4 linked regions of the Drosophila melanogaster genome follow. The protein of the gene in region 2 interacts with the protein of the main gene of each other region in a biochemical or structural test. Each region holds a gene or a part of one and is shown on either strand. Other genes may lie near its edges.

Region 1 (7,757 bases), on a different chromosome or scaffold from region 2:
ACAAAAGAATTTAGCTCCTGTTTGGAAATACTGCTGTCATATTCTGACGGATTATGGCTATTATTGCCCTATTAGAGCTCGATGTTAATAAAAATTACAGTTATTTTAAAGATGGCTGCCTGAGCGAATGCACCCAGTAAGAAACTAGAGATGGGCGATCGCATAGTTATTTTGGCCGTGACACGAGAATAACAAGTCTGACACGAAATATTTATTCATACCTTATTGTTTTTCCAAATCACACTGCAAGTGATCTCGCACGTACGCAGCTCTAAAGAGTTTTTTTTTATTAATAGTGAAATGTATTATTTTACGTCTTTAGTTTCGATTTGTCTACGAAAGAAAGGGGTGTTTGAGCCATGAAAATATCGCCATAGGGATTGGTGGGTTTTTGGCTTTCGCGGTCGAATTCGGAGCCAATGGCCCACAGCGACTCCAGATCGTATTCCTCGCGAGCACTCGGTGAAAATATGTGCAGGGCAATGTTGCCTAAAAGGAAACGGAACGTGTTAGAGCGGAGAAACCGGAATATGCATTTATTTCAATACCCACCCAAGTCCATGGCCATCCAATCCCGGCTCTTATCGCCCTCGATGCGCGGCAATATGTCACCCTTGCCCCGCTTGATCTTGAACATTCGGCGCACGAACTCCGCGGTGGACAGCATGTGTCGGTAACTGCGACCACTGCAAACCACCAGGTGGTCAACGTACTTCAGGTTCTCCGGCACGTAGCAGACGAATATGTCGTCCACATTCTCCTTGCGGAGCAGCTCCACCAAGTCCTCAACGTCGAACACTCCGCGAACACCTCCTGCAAAGGGAAACAAAGGCTTAAATTTCTGCTCTCCCTGGACGATTGCCAACCTACGCTTTAAATTGAGGCCGTAATAGTGATCCAGCTCCAGGTCCGGCTCTGGAAGTTGCTGCTCCTGGTGGCGTGCCTCTTCCACATCAAAAATCTCCGTGGCTTCCTCATCGCGGAATATTTTGTACTTGTCTTGCACGCCGGCAACCAAAGTCTTTTCGGGATTGCCTTCGATTTCCTGGCCCTTCGCTGCCTGTTGTGGCGGCTTGGAGAACTCGTGGTGGAAGCAACGCAGGACAGGCACACTCAGGCGCCTGTCGTGCACTAGGCGGAACACGCGGGTCAGCATTTTGCTTTGGCTTCTTTCTGTTGTTATTAATAAATTGGGTAACAGTTGTTGATTCGATACTTTTGGTATTACTCGATAACACTGGTCAACGATGAGCGATTGTAATATCGGTATTTTAAAGTATTTGAACCCAATTTTCTTATCAGAATTTTTCTATTTTACTTTTAAAATATTTTATTTTATTTTTTTTATTTTATTTTTATTTAAAATATTTTATTTCAATTGTTTTTATATTGTTATGTCTTTAGTTAAGTATTTAATTTTATATAAATTATAGAAAACTTATCCCGAATGTTATATTATGTTTCAGTAAAGTTCTAATTTCTGCGCAAGCACTTTAGTTTCAGTATGTGTTCTATTGCTCTACAGCGCCTGGTCACATTATTTGATGGTGAAAATATCGATAGACGTAACTAATATTTCAGAATAATAATGTCGCAGATACAATATATTGTGTTTGGCTTGCATTTGTAAATAGGAATCACCATAAGAGAATATAATATGTAATGCGATCAATATAGTGATGTACAATCGAACTATCACTCGGTATCGCACTGCAAATACCGATAGTATTTCGCAAGCTCAAATATTCGATACATCGACACTGTCGTGAGTTGTCCAGCTCTAGTTCTCCTCTGAAATTAACCAGCCGCCTGATAACCAAATTAAAAGTTATTAAATCGGAACAAATCGCAGCAAAGTGTGCACAATGAGCGAGCAGAAAACGAGTGGGAGTGGGTCGGCGGCCGCTGCCCGTCTGCAAATCGAGGCGGAGTACAAGGACAAGGGGCCGCAATGGCATCGCTTCTACAAGGTAATTGGCAACAACAACTGCGACTGCACTGAAAACTGGTTACAAACTGGACGAATGATTGTGGCACAGTTCGATTCGCCAAGGATTCGCAACGGATGCGGAGTATACACCTTTCCACAGCTCCTTGGCGCTCCGATTTCCACGAAAATGTGATGAGTGCGCAAAAGGCTTCTGCAGATGCCTCCACCACCAACACCAGTGCAGCGGCGAGCTTTACGTGTGTGCGTGTGTATTGTGTGTCAGTGCTGTTGTTGTTGCAGTTGTTGCTTTAACAGCCAGGCTTTGGCCAAAAACAAAAACCCATGGAAAAGAATGTACAAACAGAATAGCACCAACACACATACACGCACACCTGCTGCACTTTACTTTGCATTCTCCATCGAACGCGTGTGTGTGTGAGTTCGTGCGTGTGTATTGGCCTGTATTTGGCATATTTATGCTTGTTATTCTGCCATACCTTTCCCCAAAAACGCTTTCCTTTGACTATCAATAGAGCGCTTGAGCTATTCCGCGAATTCTCGTTTGGCCAAATCAAATTGGAGGCGATTTCTGGGAAGCTCGTTGTGTTTGTGATTGCCGTCCCCCAAAAACAAAATACAATTCGTGGAGGGGTGACAGTGCTCTCCACTGAAGAACTCCTCTAACGCGCGCACACACACACACACCCGCTCGCGTTGAGCAGGAGAGAGAGGCTCACGCACACAGGGGCACAAAGGGCATGCGTCTGGTTTTTTGAGTCTCGCTTTGGGCTGCTTCTGGTTGCCTGTCGGAATTGGAGTCGGAATCCTCTCCTTGCCCCTTCTTCTCTCCTCCTCCACCTCCACTCGTTCTTTATAGCCAGTTCCGGCGAACTGTCTTCAGCTGCTACTCCTCCTCCTCTGTTCCTCTGTGCCTCTTTCAGCGCTTCCACTCACTTGAATTGGGATTTCACGGAATTCCACTCCGCAGTTAGGATGACACAGTATATGGTCGTGTGTAGAAATATCTCGTTTCTGGACCCGCTCCTCGGCATCCTCGTTCGTCATCCTTTGTGCTCGCGTCGAGGATAATCTAATTTTCCAGCTAACTGGAAGGCAGCCCGCAATTGTGCGTCGAAACTGACTGGAAAATAGCTACCAGCCATTTCCACTGAAATACAGTGCAACTTGACTAAGACGATCTTGTTAGGCCAAAGTGAGATTTCAATAAACTTTCTTTAATCATATTTTCTCATTAAATCATAAATAGTTTTCAGCTTGATAATATTACTTTCGTGAAATTCATCTAAATTCGCTGAATTTTATATGTTCCATAGCATGTAAACGTTGACTCATTTTTGTTGCAATGAAAAACAACTATGATCAATGTGAAAACATCACATTTTTCGATGATTACTTTATGAATAAGACCGACCTACCCCAATTTTTACTTTAATAACATTTAGCTGTGCATGCTACTACATTTCTGAAGAAAATTATAATCCATTATAGGCACTTATCTGTCTTTATTATAGAAATTCCAAAACACATTCTTCTAAGAATTAATAAATCGCAAATATGTGTGAACATAAACGGTACAACTAATTTTGTGGTTATCATTAAAACTTCCAATTTATTTGACATTTGCCATATGATAGCCCATCATAGGGGATTTGGACTGTAGCCAAAAACGCAGTGACGCATTCGGACCGTATTGTTTTGCTATGCTTTGCTTTATGTTTAATCATTTCCATTGAACGAAGTGCGTTACACTGGGTCTTCTCAACTCGCCGCCCCTCCCCGCCTATCAGCTCATACCTAGCGCCTTCTCGATCCATCCGTTCCATCAACATCCCACCCAACCCACTCCGTCCCATTATGACAACCTCCGTGGACTGTGACGAAGCTCCTCCACAGCTATACCCTGCCAGAGGGTGTTATAGTCCTTACCAGTCGTTGGTATCAACAGGTGACCGTCTTCTTTTTCGTTTCTCTGGAAACAGTCAAGCCAGATTTTATGAAATATGAAACTTGTTAACTCGCATAGTGTGTGTGAAAGGGTATGTCAAATTCGTATTGGCCAAGAAGTCTTTATCCATCGTTGCAATTGTGCTCTGCGTGCATGCAATGTTTTTGTTACTGTTTCTCGATTTCCTTCGAGCGTTGCAAGGTAAAGCAGAAACATAATAACCATAAAACGGTTTGCACGACACGCTTTGGAAACCAAAGCCCCCGAGATTTCCGCGCCTTCGCTTGGATTTCGCCACTCCGTTTAGAAGGGTCACCTGGATAGCCACCGAGCATAAAAAACAGTATGTAGCTGGTAAACGGCCCAAGACTTAATGTTCAACGGAGCCGAAGAACTGTTTTCTCCATCAGAATGAATCCAATCCAAGCTATGGATTTACATAAGTTCCGGATGGATTGTTGATTTTATATATCATATCTAGTTTGATATAGTACAAGGAATACAACTTTATACATCATAAGTACACTGAAAGTCTTTATCATTGGCAAACATTTAAATAAAGCAGCTCAATTATCTGCGCGTATTCTCACGTGACTCGTCGATTATCAGACCTTAAATAGGTGATTGTAGAAATGCTATTGAGTTGAGGAGTTTCGAGAAATATTAAGTGCAACCATGGATTTCTTTCCGTTTCTAATTACGAATTATCAAATGTAGCGATAGCCATTGAGATTTTGCTCTTTGAAAAGCTTCCTTATCGGTCATTAGCCCGTCTCAGATTTGGAGATTACGTAAAAATATGACTCTTTAAAGTTATTTCATAACAGGTCAGCTGCAGAATTTGCAGCTGATTCATTGTTGAAACATGACGAACTGACAATTAACAACTGATTTTCGAGCTGCAATCAACGCGAGCTGATGGGTAACCATATTAAATGGTTACTCATCACCGCATGCATGTGATTAGCTTTGAGCCGAGTTTAAGGAGCACTTGTCGTCGCCAGGTGGTTGCCATTGACCTTGTTAACGGTTCGGTAGTCGGATTCGATGGTTCAATTGGCGGGGCCACTTTCAGCTGCGCCAGCAATTCCCCGTTCACACTGCTGATAATGCCGCACCGGTCATGCCCAAGATAATGCCATTACCGACAGCTTGCTTTGCCATCGCCATCACCAACATCGCATGGCTAATTAGTCACGCCCGCTATGTAGACTGGGTGGGCTTTTCATATGCCGCATGGTTCCCTCCCAGTCCGATGCCCCTTACATGTATCTACTATCGCTTCAATCGCAGGGTTTGCCAATCCGGAGGAGCCCCTTGTCGCTGGGCCAAGTGATGAATCACTGCAAAGGGGGCAACCCCCATGGAAAAAAACAAATTCGATTTCTGTAACATTCTAGCATTCTTCTAACAGGATCTTATCAATTCGTTTCTTGACAATTTGTTTGCGAGTCAGTCAAACAAATGTATCACTTTAAAACTAGTTATTATCAGACCATTATGAGTCTGAACGTTTTCATTTTCTCGGAACACAAATCGTAAAAAGCTTAATTGCGCCTTACAGTTTCTCAGTTTGTATGGTTCTAAAAGGAAGCTCTGATATTCGTTTTAACAATGCCATTCAATACTATTGTGCACTGCTATTTGCTGTTTGCTCTTGTATCGAAGAATTCGTTGGGTCATTTCATGCATAAATGTTTAATTAGTTTGAACTTTTGGTCTTATTACTGTCTTAGATAATTGAGTAACACGAAAACTATATTTTTTACGAATTTTGTACCAGAAAGAAGAGATCTTCCAGTAAGACACTATAGTAGTTGTCTTCTGGGGTCTGGAACGCTTAGGTAAATAGCGCAAATCTCACAAAATCCCCTGAATTACCGCCTGCAAATTGACTGATAAGTTGTCAGTAAAGCGACCGAATTTTAATACCACCTCAACCTTTGTTGTTATGGGTAGTTTCGATTGTACTAATCGCTCTTTTCGGAATTCCAGGAAATTTGTGAGACCTGCGACCGGGAGGCGAAGGAGAAGCAGTTCAGCACCTCGGAATCGGAACGCCACACGAACCGCGGCCTGAATCGCTATCGGGATGTGAATCCGTACGATCATTCCCGCATTGTTTTGAAGCGCGGCAGCGTAGACTACATCAATGCGAACCTGGTTCAGGTGGGTCACGTTTTTAATGCATACACACACCCCTAATTAAACGCCTAATGCGATCAATCAATCCTTTCTAGCTGGAGCGCGCCGAGCGCCAGTACATCCTGACCCAAGGACCGCTGGTGGACACAGTGGGCCACTTCTGGCTGATGGTATGGGAGCAGAAGTCCAGAGCAGTTCTCATGCTCAACAAGCTGATGGAGAAGAAACAGATCAAGTGCCACCTCTACTGGCCCAACGAGATGGGAGCCGACAAGGCCCTGAAACTGCCCCACGTCAAACTCACCGTGGAGCTCGTCCGTCTCGAGACCTACCAGAACTTTGTGCGGCGATGGTTCAAGTGAGTAGAACTCTTTATTCTTCTTCTGCTTCAAACCATTTGTACATGTGGACTAATTGCCTTTGACTATTTCTCTAGATTAACCGATCTCGAAACGCAGCAGAGTCGTGAAGTGATGCAGTTCCACTACACCACATGGCCGGACTTTGGCATTCCCAGCTCGCCGAACGCATTCCTTAAGTTCTTGCAGCAGGTTCGCGACTCCGGCTGCCTCAGCCGCGACGTGGGTCCAGCCGTAGTGCACTGCAGTGCCGGAATCGGGCGGTCGGGCACCTTCTGCCTGGTGGACTGTTGCCTGGTACTTATCGACAAGTACGGAGAGTGCAATGTGTCCAAGGTGCTCTGCGAGCTGCGCAGCTACCGCATGGGCCTCATACAGACCGCCGACCAGCTGGACTTCTCCTACCAGGCGATCATCGAGGGCATTAAAAAGCTGCACGATCCCGTATGTATGCGCGACCAGCGGTCGGCGTTTGGGAGTCAAACTTGGGGGCTGCCAAGCACCGCCGTATATATTGCACATCGCTATTTATTCTGGGGGGTCACAGAAATCTCTGGGCTTGGTTATGGTTACTAGAATTCATATTGTTTAATGGAATTATGATTACTTTTGAAAACTGTATTATGTTTAGTTTTGTTTTTTATTATGTGATCTAGTATCAGCTTAATGATTATTGTTTAATTGATGCGAAAAAGAAACCATTGTTTTTGGTTTGCAGAGATTTCTGTGAAGGCCCTGATTATTTTCCGCGACTAATTAGAACATTTGATTTCTCTTCAGACCTTTCTTGACGCTGAAGAACCCCTCATTAGCAACGACACAGAGACTCACACACTGGATGAGCTGCCGCCGCCATTGCCCCCACGCGTCCAATCGCTTAATCTGCCACTGGCCCCCAATTCCGGCGGTATACTTTCGCTCAATATGCGCGCGGCCCAGGCTAATGGAGCTGAAAGTATCGGCAAAGAGCTGAGCAAGGACGCCCTGAACAACTTCATTAATCAGCACGACATGATCCACGATGCCGAGGTGGCCGACAGTCGTCCCTTGCCGCCATTACCCGTAAGGGCTTTCAACGATTCGGACAGCGATGAGGATTACTTGCTGGATGACGATGACGAGGACGACACCGATGAGGATGAGGAGTACGAGACCATTAACGAGCACGATGCCGATCCAGTTAATGGACACGTGCCCGCGACAACACAGCCACATGCCGACGATGTTAATGCCAACAACGAGAAGCCAGCGGTGCCAGTCGACGAGCAGCACAAGGCGAACGGCATCGATCCAATTCCAGGCCAGCTCCCAGCCAGGTAAGAATCTAGTCTTAGATCTGCTCAGTATCTATTTTTCA
Region 2 (7,589 bases):
AAACAAACAGCTTAATCTAGAAGAACGGCTTGCACAAGGCAATGGTGTGATCCACTCCGTAGGCCACTTTGGTGACCTTTCCGTTGATGGCCGCCTTAAAGGGAAAGAACTGGTCCTTCTTGTGTCCCAGCCCCAGATGCCCGAACCTGTTCTTGCCCCACATGAAGAGATCTCCGTCCGAGTTGACGGCGCCCATGTGAAACACTCCGCATCCGATGGAAACCACTGTGGTTTCGTTGCTGAAGTCATTTCGTCCGAATAAAGGCGGCAACAGATGCTGCGGCTTGGATGTTTGCTCCACGAAGGGTCCGAAGCCGAGGATGCCAAAGCCCCAGGTGTACACCAGACCCTGGTCGTTGAGGGCCATGCAAAATGAGCCTCCCGCAGCCACATCCTTGATTTTCCCGATGGACTTCGTTAGTTTGAGAGCTCTAGGGATATTTATTTGGGTTTCGGCCAGCTCTGAGTCATCTAGCTGTCCGTACTCAGAATTGCCCCAGCCAAAGGCATCGCCCGCCTCGTTAAGGGCCAAAACGCAGTCCGAGGAGCAGCTGAGCCGCACAATCTTCTCCTTTTCCACATCTCCTCCAATCAGGGTTATCTGCCCGGCGGTGTGGTAGTTTCCCTGACCTGTTTGACCATCCGCACCCCAGCCACATGTGTAAATGCGTCCCTTTTTGGTAAGAAACATGCTGTGGTCCTGGCCGCACTCCACCTGGACCACCTCATCCTCCTTGCCGCATATATCTTCCTGCGATATCCTGTGGATCAGGGCACTCTTGCTGTACCGCTCCTCCTCTATGATGGAGCGGCCACATTGGCCGTACGAATTGTTTCCCAGGGTGAAAATGGTTCCGTTTTGGGTCAGAACCACCAGGTGAGCTCTACCCGCCGACATGCTCTTCACACGCATGTCCTCGTCTGTTTCTCCCTGAACTCTCGGCAGTTTAATGGCTGTAGGATAAATGATCACGTCAAGGTTGGCCGGATCATTGGGATTTCCCTTCACCTGGAAACCCAGTTGGGAGTCGGTGTTCAAACCGCTGCCAAAGAGCGTCTCTCCGTCATCTCTATTCACGGCGTAGACCGTGAACCCGTAGCCGGCGGCCACATCCGTGATTTCGTTGTTGTTGGAGAACTGCAAGCGGGTGGGATGGTGCACCATCTCCGTGTAGCGTTCCTTGGCCTTCTTCACGTTGGTCTGGAGACCGAGAGCGCCGGTTTCCTGAAAGCCCCACACGTAAACTCGGTGCTCATGGCTGTCCGTCGTCTTCGGTGAGTACTCCTTGATCTTCGACTTGTCCTGCGCCAGCACACCCCTCTTCGCCTTGGCGGTGTACGACCTGCTGATGCCAAGCACAATACCCCGAGTTTTCAGCATGGTATTTCGGGTTAAACCAACCATGTAATCCAAAATCATAACAAAAACGCCACCCGATATCGATAGACCCGATGACCGGACAAGTGCTGCACAGCGCGCAACGTGCTTATCGATAGTTCGCTAAGAAAAACCGCTGATACGCCACCTGACAGCCCTGGTCGTGGTCAATCGCTATCGCCTTCCGCACATCGAAATCGGATGGGCGACGTGAAAGAAACGGCTCCGGCAAAATCATTAAAATTTAATTAGTTAACCGCAAGAGAGCGCTGCAAAATTGTGCAAACAATTTGCCACTTAACGCAGTTAACGTGTGCGGTAATCAGAAGCGTGGAAAAGCGTTTATTTGTCAGGATTTGTGTGTTTTTCAATCGCGGCAGCAGCATATGTACACACACACAGGCTCACCCCCGCCCCACTCACACACACACACTCACGCCTAGGTGTATTATAATTAAAGTTGTGTTTTAAGTGTGTGTAAAGTGCAATAGCCCAGTGGAAAGTGGAAGTGATATAGAGTGCGTTCCAGGAGTTCCAGGAGCAGTGTCTTATCCCATGTCTTCCACTCCCAAATCCTGAGGATTGCCAAGGGTTAAGACCGAGAAATACGGACTCCGACTTTCCGGATAAGGATACGGATACGGATAAGGAGTGCCAGGATAAGGAGATCCAGGAGGAATATAGGAGTTGCCAGTCCAACCGCTTCGTCTCCGGTAGGTACACACAAAATATTCGGCTGCTCCTTTTTAGCTCCTGTTCGAATCTCTCACGGCTCTCTCTCTCGGCTCTCTCTCTCTCTCTCTTGACCTGCGCTCTCTCTCTTTATCTCGCCCTCGTCACCTGGTGGTGCGTAGTCCTTTGGCTCGGTCCACCACCCGCCCAGTGGGCGGTGCTGCAACCCTTAGCCCTCCGCTTTCCATCACCTTTTTTTGGGTAACCATGGTCGTGTTTACGGCAAACTGTGCCACCGATATATATGTGTGTACATATGTACCCTTTCCCTTGTCTAGATAGATGAAACAGATAAATCGTGAAGATGCTTCACTTACCATAAATCTATAATATGTTCATTGCTCAAATACTACTATAGTAGGTACTTGTGTTTTTCAAAAGCCTGTGCCAGGTACAAAAGCTTGTACTCTTAACAACACTGGGAACGAGTCCTGCCATCCTTTGCAGGACGAGAAGTCCACCCTCTCGCTGCCAAAAAGCCACCACCTCGCAGAGATTTTGCGCAGCATCTCTAAACGAAACGGCCGGCAAATGTCGCAAACTCCCTCGGCAACAAAAGCCAAAAAAAAAATACAAAATACAAAAAACAAAACCGAAACCGAAACCCCATTCGAATCCCATTCCCCAGCAAAAGCATCTACTTAATCAACCCGGGCGGGAGTGGACTCCCAGCTCCCTGAATGAGTGATCTTATGTAAACAGGCTGCCCTTTGCCTCCCACGCCCCGAGATCCAGATAAGAGTGCCCCACTTTCAGTTCCTCCATGGCTGCCCCATCCATCCACCGAAGTCGTAACTCAATGTTATAGACCCAAATGCTCCCGTTTCGGGGCCACCAATTCGTTCGTGATGGCTTTTCTTGGGGACCAATGACTATACTCCCTCGTCTGGAACCGATCTTCAACCAATACACAGACACAGCACGGGGAAACAAACTTTCCGCCTCATAAACTTGTGGGCTTGTCCCCCAAGCACGTGCAACTCTTTCTTTCTCTCAGCGAAAAGACGAACTGCTGTCAGGAAAACAATGAACGAGTGCACCGGAAAAAAACATAAATGTTTGTCATACGGGAAGCTAAGAAATCATACCACAAAGAATTCTTTAAAAATATATATTCATTTATTGCAGTAGCAGTAGGGAATCTTATCAAATCATAGTTCATAATATATTTTTTGACAATTTCTCCGCGCTAACGAACTTATCAGCAAGTTCCTTCCGATTTCTTCGGATTTTATCAGCAGTGTAATGTCAATGTCTCGGCTGTTGGGCTTATGCAAGCGCAAACAATAACAAAACAATCACCAAGCCAAAGAAATCCAAACACCGATCCGAATCCAACGGTGGTGCATTTCAGTTCATTGGCAGCCAGCCAGCCAGCCAGGCGTTTCATGTTTACCAAGTCCCCAAGCGAACCGAACTGAACCGCCCCCTTATCACTCCAGCATTTGCATAAATATAATCTTTTTCGGGTTCTTTCTCCGTTTCTATCTGGGTTCGGTTACGGTTTCACTCCCGCTTTCTCCTCTCAAAAAATAGGGAAAACACACAGACAATTCGCACAACAGTGAATCACTTTGCGACCAATGCTTCGGTTAAACAGGTACTTCTCCGTATCTCTAGCTAACGCAAAAACCTTTGACTAATCGATGGTAAAGTAAACAAAAACACTCGTTATCACATGGAGATTATTATGGCCAAAATTCGAACAGGAAGCACGATTAGAAGTTTACCGGCAAAACAAATTTATGCATTGCCTGCATTTCTTATTATATACGTATGGGTCAGTTGCTAATAGATATTGCACCGAAATGCCAGAATTGAATGGCATTAGAGCTCTCGAAAACACTTTCAGCTGACTCAGCCTCTCGTGTATGACCTAACAGTCATTGAAAAGCGAAACCAAGATTGGCCTAGAGTCAAAGACCGAGTAGAGCGTTTTCTCAACGTGGCCCACACTTATTGATTTTTAATTATCCAAAGATGGCCCTCGGCTATGACATTGACTTTGATTTTGTTGGCTCGCCAACCTGGCCAACGAACTCGGGAAGCCTCTCTAGAGATCTCTGGCCGAAATAACCTTCTGTGCCGCCCGCTAACTGCCTTATGTCACTCGGTAAATCTCGGTTAAGAAACCAATTTCCCAATACCCCCGACCATTCACGTTCGTGACTCATTGCGGTCGAATGTCTCAGTTGATTTCTGTGTCTTTCTTGGCCTGAAATGGCCCGGATTTTGAGTCTCTGGTTCTCCAGCCTCGGTGAGGCTGCCCCGTTGAACAAATCAATACCCGATGGCCACTTATTCGCTCGCCTGGCAATTGGATTCAATTGAGTGGAGTCAGTCGGAGGCAACTTTCACTTGCACAGATTTTAATTGCCCCACAACTGGAATGGCCAGATCCCTCAGCCCCCATATCCATCTCCCGCTCATATTATCATCATCATGATCATCACAACACAAACACTTCACTCATTCATCTTCATCGCCGGCTCGCTGACCCCAAAAACAAACATTCATCTCTCGGCTAATTTTGAGTTGATTTCCTATTTGGTATTTCGAGTTTGAGTACTTGCATTGTATTTTTTAAGCTAATCATTTTTACGCTCTTTAGCTTCTTCAGTGCGAAACAATTAAGCCTAATTTGCATATATCATTTGCTCTCTTTTTCTTTCTTTCTTCGTTCGTTGCTTATGTTATTGCGTTGCTTATGTTTACTTTGCCACGCCTACGCTTCCGCCCACGCTCACGCCCATTCGCCCCCTGAAACCACGCCCACAGCAATTATGCATTGGCTAGAGGCGATTTGCAGCAAGCTTAGAGTGCCAGCGAGCAACTGCAACACATAACCAAACCATCAAAGACTTGTTGTTCATCAACTCCAACCCCAACTCCAAGTCCACCAACACTGAGCCACCGCCTCTTGCCTCCAGGAGCATCACCAGGAGCATCAGGGCAGTCCCAGCTGGAGGAGCAGGAATCCCCCCGCGGCGGAGGAGCAGCCAGTCTGGAATGTTGGAACACCCCCAGCGGTTTGTGCGCAACATCCCCGACTCCTCAGCCAGTTCGCAGCAGTATCCGCAGCAGCAGCAGCATCCGCCACAGCTGCCGCAGCACCAGAATCTGAATCTCAACCAGAATCAGAACCTGAACCAGAATCAGATCTACCAGTACCGTCCCCAGGTGCCCGTGCCCGTTCCCGGCTCACCTGCCCATCACCAGCGGCACTCTTCGCTCTCCCAGCAACAGCAGTTGCACCACCACCGCACCCTGTCCACCGCCTCCTCCTGCAGCGCCCAGCACAAAAGTGTGACCTTCGGCCAGCCAGCGCTCGACTGCGGCGGCAACGGCAGCGGAAGCGCCAACGGAAGCGGTAGCGGCAACTCCTCCAGTGGCAGTGCCGCCGGCAACGCTGGAACCCAATCAATGGCGGGCAACATGAAGCACGGTGAGCAACTGCAACACAATAACCTCACAGCGAGAAGAGCATTGGGTGTAGTAAAAGGATCTAGGATTTGTATGCTAATGAATTTGTGGTTCTATCATACTGGCCCATTTTGCTTTTCTAACTGTGTGTGCACTTGGTACTCTTCTAACCTGTTCCTGTTAATCACTCCGCAGGCAAATCTCAGGACGACGTCTGCTACGTGGTAGCCAAGTACGACTATGCGGCGCAGGGTGCCCAGGAGCTGGATCTGCGCAAGAACGAGCGCTACCTGCTGCTGGACGACTCCAAGCACTGGTGGCGCGTCCAGAACAGTCGCAACCAGTCCGGCTACGTGCCAAGCAACTATGTGAAGAAGGAGAAGCCCTCGCTCTTCGACAGGTGCGTCAGATTCCTGGCCCGACTAAACCTAAGCGTTCTTCTTGCTCTGATTTCAGCAGAATTAAGCCCTCTATACCTGTATCTGTATCCGTATCCGTAGATGTATCTGTATCTCTATCGCGTTCAAATACCCGCCTCCACCTTTTGCTTTGGCTATCGTAATTTAACTTATAACTGCTTTCGGCTTTTGTATTTTGTATTTCAAAACAACAAATTCGTTTTGATTTCGTTGTCTGTCGAGCCCCACTTGCCCCTAAAAACTAAAGATCCACTAACACCCAAACCAACTAGGGCTAGTCTAACCCACTTTAAACCGCCAATGAAATCTAACCATAAAACTTCATCCCAATACTGATCGTGAATATTTTGATTTACGATTTCTGTGCAGCATTAAGAAGAAGGTGAAAAAGGGCTCCGGATCGAAGACACTGCCTAATTGTTCGCCTTCGCGACAGGTCGAGAGTCCAACCATGTCGCGCCGACTTCCCCCAGATCCCGCAGAGGCCATCGGAACGGCTGTGGTCAAGTATAACTATCAGGCCCAGCAGCCCGATGAACTTTCGCTGACCAAGGGCACACGAATCCTCATCCTGGAGAAGTCCAACGATGGATGGTGGCGTGGACAGAGCGGCAATTCCGTCGGCTGGTTCCCCAGCAACTACACAACGGAGGATTGTGATAACGACGGCGAGATCCACACCTACGCAATGGCCGAGAACGTGCTTGATATTGTGGTGAGTAACTGGACGTGTTCTCAAAATAAACATTCACATCATCTATGAGAGGTTGTCATTATTGGCTAATAACAACTATTTTCAAATATATAGGTCGCGCTGTACAGCTTCACGTCAAACAACGACCAGGAGCTCTCGTTCGAGAAGGGCGATCGCTTGGAGATCGTGGATCGGCCCGCCTCCGATCCGGACTGGTACAAAGCTCGCAACAATCAGGGCCAAGTCGGTTTAGTTCCACGCAATTATCTCCAAGAGTTGAACGACTACCTGGCCACGCCCTATCGTAATGCGAGTGCCAGTGCAGGAAACGGAAATGGAGGAGGAAGTAATGGCGGCGCAGGTGGTGGCGGAGGAAACGACTCCATGGAGCGGCGCAATGAGGGTAATAAGCCGGCGGCGCAATCTTCCGGCCAGCCAATCGAGCGGCCAAATCTGGCGGGCAAGTCGTGGTATTATGGAGCCATCACCCGCAGCCAGTGCGACACGGTGCTCAACGGCCACGGGCACGATGGCGACTTCCTCATCAGAGACAGTGAGACTAACGTAAGTGGAATTCGCAATTGAAGTGCCATAACATAGTTCCGCCCGAATTCTTTGAGAGTGTATAAACGAATTCATCCTTTCTTGCAGATGGGAGACTATTCGGTTTCGTTAAAGGCCCCAGGGCGCAACAAGCACTTCCGCGTGCACGTGGAGCAGAACATGTACTGCATTGGGCAGAGGAAGTTCCACTCGCTGGACCAACTGGTCGATCACTACCAAAGAGCGCCCATCTACACGAATAAGCAGGGCGAAAAGCTGTATCTGGTGCGATCGCTGCCGAAGGCCAATGGCACGTAAGCAGGTCCAGGACTGGAGCAGAGAAATCTCAGCATTCATATTACCCGTATTCAACAACACACATATGCAACACAAAGATATA
Region 3 (4,986 bases), on a different chromosome or scaffold from region 2:
AACCATAACAGCAACGACGTTGTATAAAACCAGTTGAACCCGTCTTGTTTTCGAAAGGCTATTGAAAGCTCTGATGCATATAGTAATCTATATCTTTTAGCAGTTTTTGTCACGAGTCGGACGTCAAGGACTAATACTGTCGTGTACCAAGAAATTATATTTTTATTCCTGTAGTTGAAGATAAAAAGCGGAAATTAGATTCGTTGAAAAGTATATATAAAATGTATATATATATATATATTCTTGATCGAAACATATCCGGGAACATTTTGCTTTATTGAAACAATTTTAAAACCCTGTACCTTTTACAGTCAACATCTAGCGAATTAGACAGCCGTAGGTGGACTTCAGAGGAATCGGTATATGATATTTTAAAAATATCTTTAAAATGTTTTAAAAACATTAGTAGAAAATCGTTGTGTTTTACAATATTTTACACATTCTTACATACGTTAAGTTGTACAAAAAGACCAAAATTGTTCGAGTGTTTTAAAGATTTGTATAGTTTTTGTTACTAACCGAGTATGAACAAAAAGACTACGGTGCGTTTATCCCTGAATAAAAGCTCAACTCACACCGAACTTGTTGACTGACCTATGGTAACCGATTCGAAGCATGGTCATTACAAAATATCGCTCGATGTGTTTTCGGTTGCTTGTGTGGGAGTTTTTTTTTTTTACGGTAACGCGTGCCAAGAAAACTGAACAAGACGAACATAATAACGGGTATAATGAGCTGCAGAGCGAGTGGAATGGAGTGCGATTGGCGAAGTCTTTGTTGTCGTTGTTTCTGAAAGGTAACAATTGCACTCAAAGGTACTACGACCCAAATTGAACCGGTTTAACGTTTTTTATGTTTGTCTGCTTTTTTGTTATTTCCTTCTAGTGCGCCAATCCACAACTAGTAAACCTCGAAAATCAAACACTAACTCTTTCTGTTGCCATTCGACATGATGGTTTTCAGCCAAATCTGTGAGCGAGTCTACGTTGCGTAGCCAAAAAAAAGTGAATCATTGCAAGAGAGCGATAGGAATTAAGAAGCTGTGTGATGCCGTCTAATTTATAGCTTTTGTGCGTACTTTCTCCGTGACTCCAAAAAAATTTAATGCAAATAACATTGTGATTCGCTTGCTGCGCTCCATTAATGTGGAAATCAAAAGTAAGCTATTTGGCCAGCAAAAACATAGCCATTGACCGACAACCTCAACCAACACAACAAAACTTATGGTAAAAAAAAGTTTGGCTTTGATTTTATGACCGTGATTTAGGTCATTGCACAATGGTGACGAGACTTAGTTCCCTTCCACTCATGGAATTCGAATTTATTCGATATGTCGAACTTTTCATATATATTAATATCCGCGACATTCGTGTACTTAATTTAATAAAAAAATTGTTTTTTTAAGAGAGAAACTAAAAGAAATTGAACGTCCTTCACATTCATCAAATATTTTGTGGCGCCAACACTCTTAAAAAAACAAGAGAAAACACCAAAGCGAGTTCTTTGACTAACAAATACCCGTTACTCAAAAAAGAGAAGTGCAAGGACGACGCAAATATTCCAGTAGGAACGTGACTCCGAGATTGCACATATATGCTTTAAAAACCACATTTATTTTATTCCCTTACTGTATTTATTTATTCTAACTGAAAACAAAGTATCGTCAGCGTATGTATAAGAGGTTTTTGGGAAAGTGCACGGTCCACAGTTAATAGCTTAAGTGGCAGGAGCTGAAGAGAGAACCAATGAACTGAAAGGAGTAATTCGAAGGGATCACAATCAGAGGTTACAGCTCGGAATGCCAACAACAAAGAGCGGACCACGAAGCCAGCTACCATAAACAATGAGCTTTTTTGCCTCTCTTTAGCTCATCTGGAGCTCCACACTCAATACCATGAAAGCAATTTTCATGTGTTTTTCAACTGAATATTTTGTATCTGTATCTTTATCTTTTTTCTGCTACCACTGCTGTTGTTAAGCGACTCCGACTGACAGGCATGACTCATGACGCAGGAAATTTACGACCACGGCACAGTGCAGCAAGAGAAGGCTGAAAAGCGATATAAAAGAAGGCCCTAAACTCCGCTAATTCCAAGCCTGAGAGCCAACTTAAATCTTAGCCTAAACGCAAAGAATATGTGCGAAATGGCGCAGTTTGCCCAAGTCACGTAAGTCGAAATTGATATGATTTCTGAGGCCTGGTATGGTGTCTGAAAAAAAAAAACGCCGTGGAAGTGCACAGCAGTGTATAAGAAAGTTCATGTGCACGGAACTGAGCGCTTTAGCACTTACAAAAATGTATCACCCGTTTGGCAAGCCAGTTGTGCATTTTAGCACATAGTAAACGATAAAGTTCGCAACAACTTGAGGACGACTTTGTGGGCTGTCAGGCATTGCATAACCAGATTCGCAGGAATTCTCTTACGAAATAAGCTCGACTTTGTATTCCGCACGGAATACACCGTTCTAATTCCAGCGGCATGCGCCGAGGCAAAGAAAATATGTTTGCATGACCAGCGAAACACACGCGAAACAGTAAAGAAAATAGAAAGTTCTGTTCCCATCTTTTTCTGAGTTCGGATCCACCAGAGGAATGTTCCGCACACTGCAGCTTCCCTGGGCTTGTACCTTTTCCAGTTTTGCTGCTACTGCTGCTCTTGTTACCACTTATCCATATCAAAGTGGGGTTTTACTTGAGGCACTTTTGAACAAAGAAAACACTGACTGTTAGAAGTATGCCAACAACACAAACAGGTCGCGCATGCGCCGCACAGTGCATCTAGTGGCTCTGTGGTGGCTTGTGGATAATAGATTATATAGATTTCATCGGCCCGTGAACGAAAAAACTTGTAAGCGCGGTAGGCGAGCTTTGGCCAAATTCGATTAAGGCATTTAACTCAGATTCGGATTCGATTTCCTATGTGCTGCGTGTACGGGCGCTATTCCGATTTCCGAGCCGTTTTCGTGCGGCTTCCGTTTACACGTCCGTTTTGTGCACCGCTTCGCAGACAACTGATACGTTTATGAAATTTTTATAGAAAGGTTTTAACCGCTTGCCACCGCACCGACACACTCGCACCCGCCGCCTTGGCATCTATGTGTGTGCCATTTGAGCCAAGCTCGCTGCCCGCGTGTTGGCCAACCGTTCCCGCTCTCTCGCTCTTCGATCCATCTTTGTGTGCTTAGTCTCTTTTATCTTGGCCCAGAAGTCCAATGGCTCGTCGAAGAGTGGTCTCGCTCTTCGTCTCCAAGTGCCTCTCTCTTAAGATGCTCCGAGATAAACTGCACAGTTTTGTAATTACGACAACAATTAGTCACAAAGTGCGTTGATTGCAAAGATCAAATCGAGTTGAAAACAATTAACTCGTCGCTGTTACTGACAAAATGTCAGGTTGTATTAATTTGTTCACGTAACCAAAATAACTCAGCACTGTCGCGTCACTGGAAATCAAATTATTTGTTTCTAAATGTCTCCGCTTGGGTTCTTGTGAACGCCATTGAACTCGTCATTGATAAGGTATGCTATGGAACATTGCTGAAATAGAAAATATTAGAGTCTACATCGTGGGAATACTAATGGCTAGTATCCAATCCAGAAGGGACTCGCAGTGGGGACTCGCGCCTGGACATACCATTTAATATTAAGAATATATTAACGAATACCTGGGGATATTTTGCGAAAAGTCGGAGGGCAAAATCTATAAACATAGTCGTTAGTCACTTTGATTTAACACTTGACCAAATATGAGTGTTCCTGAGCTCCCTTATGTAAATAGAAATTCATGTGCACATATAAACACATGTGTTTACGTCGATGGCTCAGATTCTCCGTTTCCCTGACCACAAAACCCTTAAATACTGAAATATTGGGACTTACCTGGAAATAAAAAGTAAACAGAAAGTGTTAAATGTTAACTTTAACGGGTTGTGTAATGCAAAATAAATAAATAAAAGGACACTTTTATAAAAACGTTAGGCAGTATGGCCAATATCACTGAAGTATACGGTTATCTAACTTAGCAGTATATTCTTTTTTCATTTTAAATTAACTTTTACAATATTACAGCACAAAGTCACAGCTTACAGGTCGTATAACTGAAATCAAATCTAGCCACACACCAAACTGTATCGACAAAATGCGATTTCGTCTCCTTCTACTGTCCTAATCTGATTGAAATGTGTGTATTTACCTCTACGTAAATTACGAGTCAATTAATGCCCAGCCAGACTAGGTGAATATTTGCTTCCTGTGCAATTTTACGCTAATTCAAATTCCTATAACATCAACACGTTCACCGTTAGTATATGTAGTCTTTATCGGACGTATCAGCTAAAAATTAACACTATATCACTGAGTCAATTAAAATGTAGTCGTTCGACCTTCCTGGAGAGCGACGACCGAGTCTGTTGTCACTTATGTTTTTTTTTAGCTACTGACAAATTATTAAAACAATTGCCTTCTATTGAGTATTATTGACTTGCCACAAACTCGAATGATTTGTCTACACACACACACACTTCACCTGAGCCGAAAGAAGAACGCTCAACTAAATCGGAACTTCACCACGCATGAACACAGGGAAATATGAATAAATGCCGACACGGCTCTTGCATGTGGCTCTCTAAAACAATTGCCTTCTCTTCGTGGGTTCAACGACATTTTCTGATGTCATGTTCAATAACAATTGCAGCCTATAGTGGCAACGGGAGTAAAATAAAGGATGGCTTGAATTATTAATGAATAATGAATACGGAGGTTCAAAAAATACTAAATTCGCTGCATATGAGCTGAAATTATAATTATTTGGAAAATCGGACCCATTTATTTGCAAACTGTGGTATCATAACTTTTCTTTAATTGTTAAAATATTTATTTGAGTCTTCTCAAATCGCTCTCAACAATCATATTATTGAACATTTTAATTAACCGAAACTCAATATGCGTATACAGAATAATGCTCCTCTGACATTGGAACTAGCCAAAAA
Region 4 (4,789 bases), on a different chromosome or scaffold from region 2:
CCATGTTAGCTTTTCAATTGGCCTAATGAACAGACTGTAGCTTGCAGCAGGGAAACAGCTGCATCAAAGGCTCTGGGGTGGCCAAACTATTCCATCAGGGGTGTGGCATCAAACCCACGAGTTTATTAACCGAAAAATTCCCTTTTAAGCTGACTCTACTAAGTATTCCAGAAAAGTTTAGAATTAGAGAGAGGAATGCGGATGGTGGAAAATAGTTATGTATATTAATTATTTTTGAAATGTATTTGCTAATCAAAAACACACTTTGAAGACGAAGAAGTTTATCCACATATAGAAATGGTTGCAAATTTTAATTGAATCACGTTCCTTTAAGAATCATGTGCATTTTTCTAATCCATCAAGTATATCAATGAATTTAGATTTTTGTTTAAAAAATAAATAGATAAATCATAAATGGAAAAGTAATTTGCCCAAAATTGCCGAACAGCACGTAAATATTCGAGTAATGACTCATCAATACATCTCTCCTTGAGCTTTCAGCTTAGAAATTGTTCGCTTCCCATACCGACAACTGATGCTCGACTGAAGCAATTTGGAAAACATCTGGTAATCAGTCAACGGATCCAGGCATCCGTATAGGCAACATATGTGCGGATACATCTATACCATATACAATGTACCTACATAAAGAGATACAACCCTCGGTGAGCGGATCCGTTTGGTCAATCGCGTGGTAAAATCAACGAATCAAAAGCATTTTAATATTACTCATGCTCGCCTTTCGTATTCTTCTTGTTGCCCCGTCTGGCTGCATGTGTAACTTTAAATTGGGGTGACGAGCCAATAAATTTAGGAAGGGTGGTGCCGCAGGAATGGTCGGATGGGGCACAGTGGGCACTGAGGGCAGTGGCCCAGTGCAGGGTCGTCGGCGGAGGCAGAGGACACACATCCATTGTCCAGAAACGCTGCTGTGACCCATTCGCGCCCAGAGCTTCCGCACTGCGGCCCTAATTGAGATTCAAGTGCTCTCGGCGGCAGTAGAAACAAAAGGAAATATTTATTCGGTCCTTTGTTCACTTTAACCTTTTCCGCTGTGTCATGTTGCTGCCCAAGTGGAAATCAATATTTGCCTTCACAAGCGACCCGATGAGTGCATTCTCATCAAATCGATGAGAGCGGCCAAAGTAAATCTGTTTAACCACCAGCGTGCTGTGTATAAATTAGTTAGTGGGTGGAGTAACCATCACTAAAACAACTTAGAACTTATCTGAAATGTGTGTGAATAAAATGGCACACTATTGGATTTATTTATTGATTTTATTGGTTGCCAAAACTCATTGAGCACTTCGCTCAACGAGTGGAGCACTTTCAGAAAAGCTTATTAACGATTTCAAAAAATGTCCAGGATCTATTCAGTACATTTAAAGGGAGACACCAGTAATTCATGTGGGTAAATAAATAATTAGTTATTGTAAAATAAGTATAATAATTTACATTAAGCGGAGTATCAATGTAAACAGAAATTAAAAAAAATTAAATCAATAGTGCCTAAAATACTATTCAATAATATTACTGCAAGTTCATAGGTGTATAGGTAATTCACTGACTATTTTATTGCTCTGAAAACAGGGAGTCACATGGAAAATTGGCACTGGTCCAACTGGTGGGGAAAACCGCCTAGCAACAGGATGGCGAGCCGACGAAAAACCAGAAAAAGAAGCAGGAAAATAAAAAGTATATCGCCAGCAGACGCAGAAGGAAGCGGAGGAGGAGGGTAGTGCAACACTTGCAAAATCAAATAGTGGAAACTTCAGACACACCAGCAAGGAAAGGACGAAGGCAGCTGCACGGGATTTCAGTGATTTTACAAGCAGGGGATGAAACAACACTAACATCAGGACTCACACACACACACACATGTGCGCTGAAAGGATCGCGACGTATGTGTGCCACATGGAAACTGCGAAGAATTTTAAGAGGTTCTTGAGAATGAAGCGTTTTGAGTAGGGAAAGCTGAAAACTACCTGACGGCGACAAAGGACCAAGGACCTGGCGGCAGGAGGCACAGGTTGCACACACACACACACACACTGACTGACACACACGAATGGACGCACAAGCGAATACAACGGTAATCACAGAGTTGCTTTTCTGCGGTTCCAAGGGCGCATGCGCCGAAAAAAAATCGCTGAAAATTCAGGGACTGCAATTATTTCCTCTAAAACTCGATTTATAAATAAAAAGTAGCATGAAATATATAGAAACTCCCCTACGTACTAAACAAGACATTCGGAAATTTAGTATGAAACTTGTTTGGGAGTCGTAGAACATGCATATTTCCTCCCTCATGGCAGTACATTTTCACACCCTTTTGCAAGTGTGTGTGATGTGATACGGTGCATAAAGTAACCGTTTTTGCATTCCCAAATTGAAAAAACTTAACGTCTGGCGAAAAATCATAAGGAAGACCAAAGACTATTATCATCTAACCGATAAAATATCAACCTACAGCATCCTGCAGTTGATTTCGCAGACTAGCGCTACTCGGTGGGCGTGGGCAGGACTCACGCACACTTCTGCACCCAACCTATACATACACGACGGGCACAAAGAAGTTGCCAGACAACGGTGAAAATTTCCCAACGGTACCGCCGACTTTTCTTACCGTTATTGTTACTGCGGCTGGCCAAATTGTTTTTTAAATGCGATTAATTGTTAACACTCACACACACACACTTGTGAGAGTGGTGGGCTATTTGCAGCAGGGTGCCACTAATCCACGGGGGTGGCGACTCCGCACAAAAGCACGGCACACACAAACACAGATACTTTGCTCTGCTCTTGACTATCTTTCAGATACTTTGCATACTATTATTCACTTTTTTGTAGGGTGGTGCACTAGCACCGCTGCAACCGGTTGGCGGATTGCTAATCGCGTACCGCTGCCGTATATCCGTCTATCCGTACCCGTATCCGTATCGGTGTCCCAAAACAAACGCTCACACGCACACACAAATACTCGCACGCTCTCGCGATTCGCCGACTAGCGCTGAAATCCGGTTCTCGATCGCTCGACGGTCCAAACAAGACTGAATCGGATGCTCAGATACTCGCCATCGGATTTAGATACAACGCTTAAACCGGCGCTCTCTCTCTCTCCCTCTCATCCTCTCTCTTTGCGCTTTCTGTGTGTGTGTGTGTCCGAAGGGGCGATTGTTTGGGAAATTTCTGGGACATTTCTCACCTGTTGCCTTGTGGACTGTGTTTGCTTGGATTTCAGCTGCAAATGTAGAACTTAATTATCTTTATAAGACGATAACTATTTTATTTTGAATATAAAACACTGATTAAACACTGATTGATTAGTTTAGTTTGTATATATTTATTTGCTTAACCAACAATATCCACACAAAGCCATGCCGAGCGATTTGGCGGAATATGTATGCTTACAAATGTGTTTATAATTTTTCACACGCTGATATTGAGGGAACATACATACATTAATATCAATTTAAGTTACTCGGAGTACAGTGCAAACTGCATCTATATCAATGGACAATAAAAAATACGTTGTACACAACCAAACAGTATTGAATTTTAATTTTAAGTTAATGCAAAATGAGTATTGGATTAGCGCAAATACTGCGATTTGAAGCATTTATAAGTTGTACAGAGTAAATGCTTTTGATAGAATATTAAAGGTTAACACTTGGGTATGGAGTACGTATGTTGTAATTGGTATCGAAGGTCAATTAAAATTCGAGGGAAGACACAATAGTGTTTACAACTAAGCTAAAACTAACAAAATCAATTAAAATTAAGTGGTTACCTAATAATTATTGTTATGTACAAGTTAAACAATGCGGAGACTTAGGTCAACACTTTGAGCGAGTTTTGTGTACGGTTTGTCTTGCGAGTATCTTAAGTAGCAGGTCAAGTCTTTACGGTTGAATCTCATGAGGATAGTTACTTTCATATGCTAGGTGTATGTACGTGTGGGGGTTTCTAAAATAAATGCTCCCCAGCTAAAGAGCCGGAATGAGAACCATGTGTTGTAGTCTATTTGTGTCATGACTGTGGACGAAACTTGTTCAGTTCTTGTTACCAGGATCTGAGCTATTGCTTCACACTTAAAAAGATATCGAACTCCAGCCACTTTAATAAGTTAAACGACAAGCAGTAAACTAATAAATTCAAGCTGGTATATATGTCGGACTATTGATTAAAATGTATGCATGTATATGGGAGTAATCTGTTATACATTTTTAAGCATTTTTTTATATTATCGCCTTAATTATTAAAGTGGCTGGATTTCAGCTCATGGCTATTAATTGTATATGGCTATTTGGCTTAACCTTATAATATCGTCCTGGAAATGGTTAAATTCGTATTTAGTTTCGACGACTTGCGTCCTGGATAATTATCTTGTTCTTCTGACGCGTCACTTTCGTGGCCGTCGGAGCTGGCATCAGACGCTTCAGCTGCTCCGGCCTGAAGCTGACCAGGGCCTTGTCCTTCACTTTTCCTACGGCTCCAGTGGTGGTTGTCGACGTAGTGGTTGCCGTGGCCGTGGTGGTTGACTCAATCAGGGCCGTGGATTCCTCGGCCGTGGACCCTGAGGAACCGGCTGCGGCAGCTGACGCATATCTGGTGAGCACATGGAACTTGGCAAAGATGTTGCGTCCGCTGCGTTGCTCTTTGTCCTTGTATTTGTCTAGCGCCGAGCCGGTGGGCATCGGCTTTGGCGCTTTGATCAGTGCCTTGCTTGGATTGCCGCCACCTTTGTAGAAATGATCGTAGTCGAAATCACTACTGGCCTGCACCGGCG

What was found.
Region 1: the proteins of dock (region 2) and Ptp61F form a complex in vitro, tested with the Drosophila melanogaster proteins (2 studies listed by BioGRID, with this or other methods).
Region 3: of the proteins of dock (region 2) and Src42A, one has a biochemical effect on the other in vitro, tested with the Drosophila melanogaster proteins (one study listed by BioGRID).
Region 4: the proteins of dock (region 2) and Dscam1 interact in far-western blotting, tested with the Drosophila melanogaster proteins (one study listed by BioGRID).

The regions. Positions count from the first base shown.
Region 1 is NT_037436.4:1,344,585-1,352,341, reverse strand, and holds the start of Ptp61F (protein tyrosine phosphatase 61F), read left to right. Parts: upstream 1-1,742; 5' UTR 1,743-1,865; coding exon 1,866-1,970; intron 1,971-2,799; exon of another isoform or gene 2,800-3,143; intron 3,144-5,891; coding exon 5,892-6,065; intron 6,066-6,136; coding exon 6,137-6,399; intron 6,400-6,477; coding exon 6,478-6,844; intron 6,845-7,180; coding exon 7,181-7,716; intron 7,717-7,757. Other genes in the region: CG9166 (uncharacterized protein), read right to left, coding at 311-489, 553-813, 871-1,156. UniProt on the Drosophila melanogaster protein: Non-receptor protein tyrosine phosphatase. Required for maintaining dock/dreadlocks in its non-phosphorylated state. Negative regulator of InR/insulin-like receptor signaling through dephosphorylation of tyrosines when recruited by dock/dreadlocks.
Region 2 is NT_033779.5:824,417-832,005, forward strand, and holds the start of dock (dreadlocks), read left to right. Parts: upstream 1-1,552; 5' UTR 1,553-2,091; intron 2,092-4,888; exon of another isoform or gene 4,889-5,040; 5' UTR 5,041-5,119; coding exon 5,120-5,555; intron 5,556-5,728; coding exon 5,729-5,933; intron 5,934-6,321; coding exon 6,322-6,667; intron 6,668-6,760; coding exon 6,761-7,210; intron 7,211-7,297; coding exon 7,298-7,507; 3' UTR 7,508-7,589. Other genes in the region: CG3862 (uncharacterized protein), read right to left, coding at 17-1,381. UniProt on the Drosophila melanogaster protein: Adapter protein that links cell surface receptor tyrosine phosphorylation to downstream signaling pathways and effectors, many of which are involved in regulation of the actin cytoskeleton.
Region 3 is NT_033778.4:5,991,020-5,996,005, reverse strand, and holds the start of Src42A (Src oncogene at 42A), read right to left. Parts: upstream 3,015-4,986; 5' UTR 2,629-3,014; intron 1-2,628. UniProt on the Drosophila melanogaster protein: Required directly or indirectly for the phosphorylation of drpr which is necessary for the interaction of drpr with shark and subsequent glial phagocytic activity.
Region 4 is NT_033778.4:7,378,845-7,383,633, forward strand, and holds the start of Dscam1 (down syndrome cell adhesion molecule 1), read right to left. Parts: upstream 3,026-4,789; 5' UTR 2,627-3,025; intron 1-2,626. Other genes in the region: cos (costa), read right to left, coding at 4,353-4,789. UniProt on the Drosophila melanogaster protein: Cell surface receptor involved in guidance and targeting of growing nerve axons.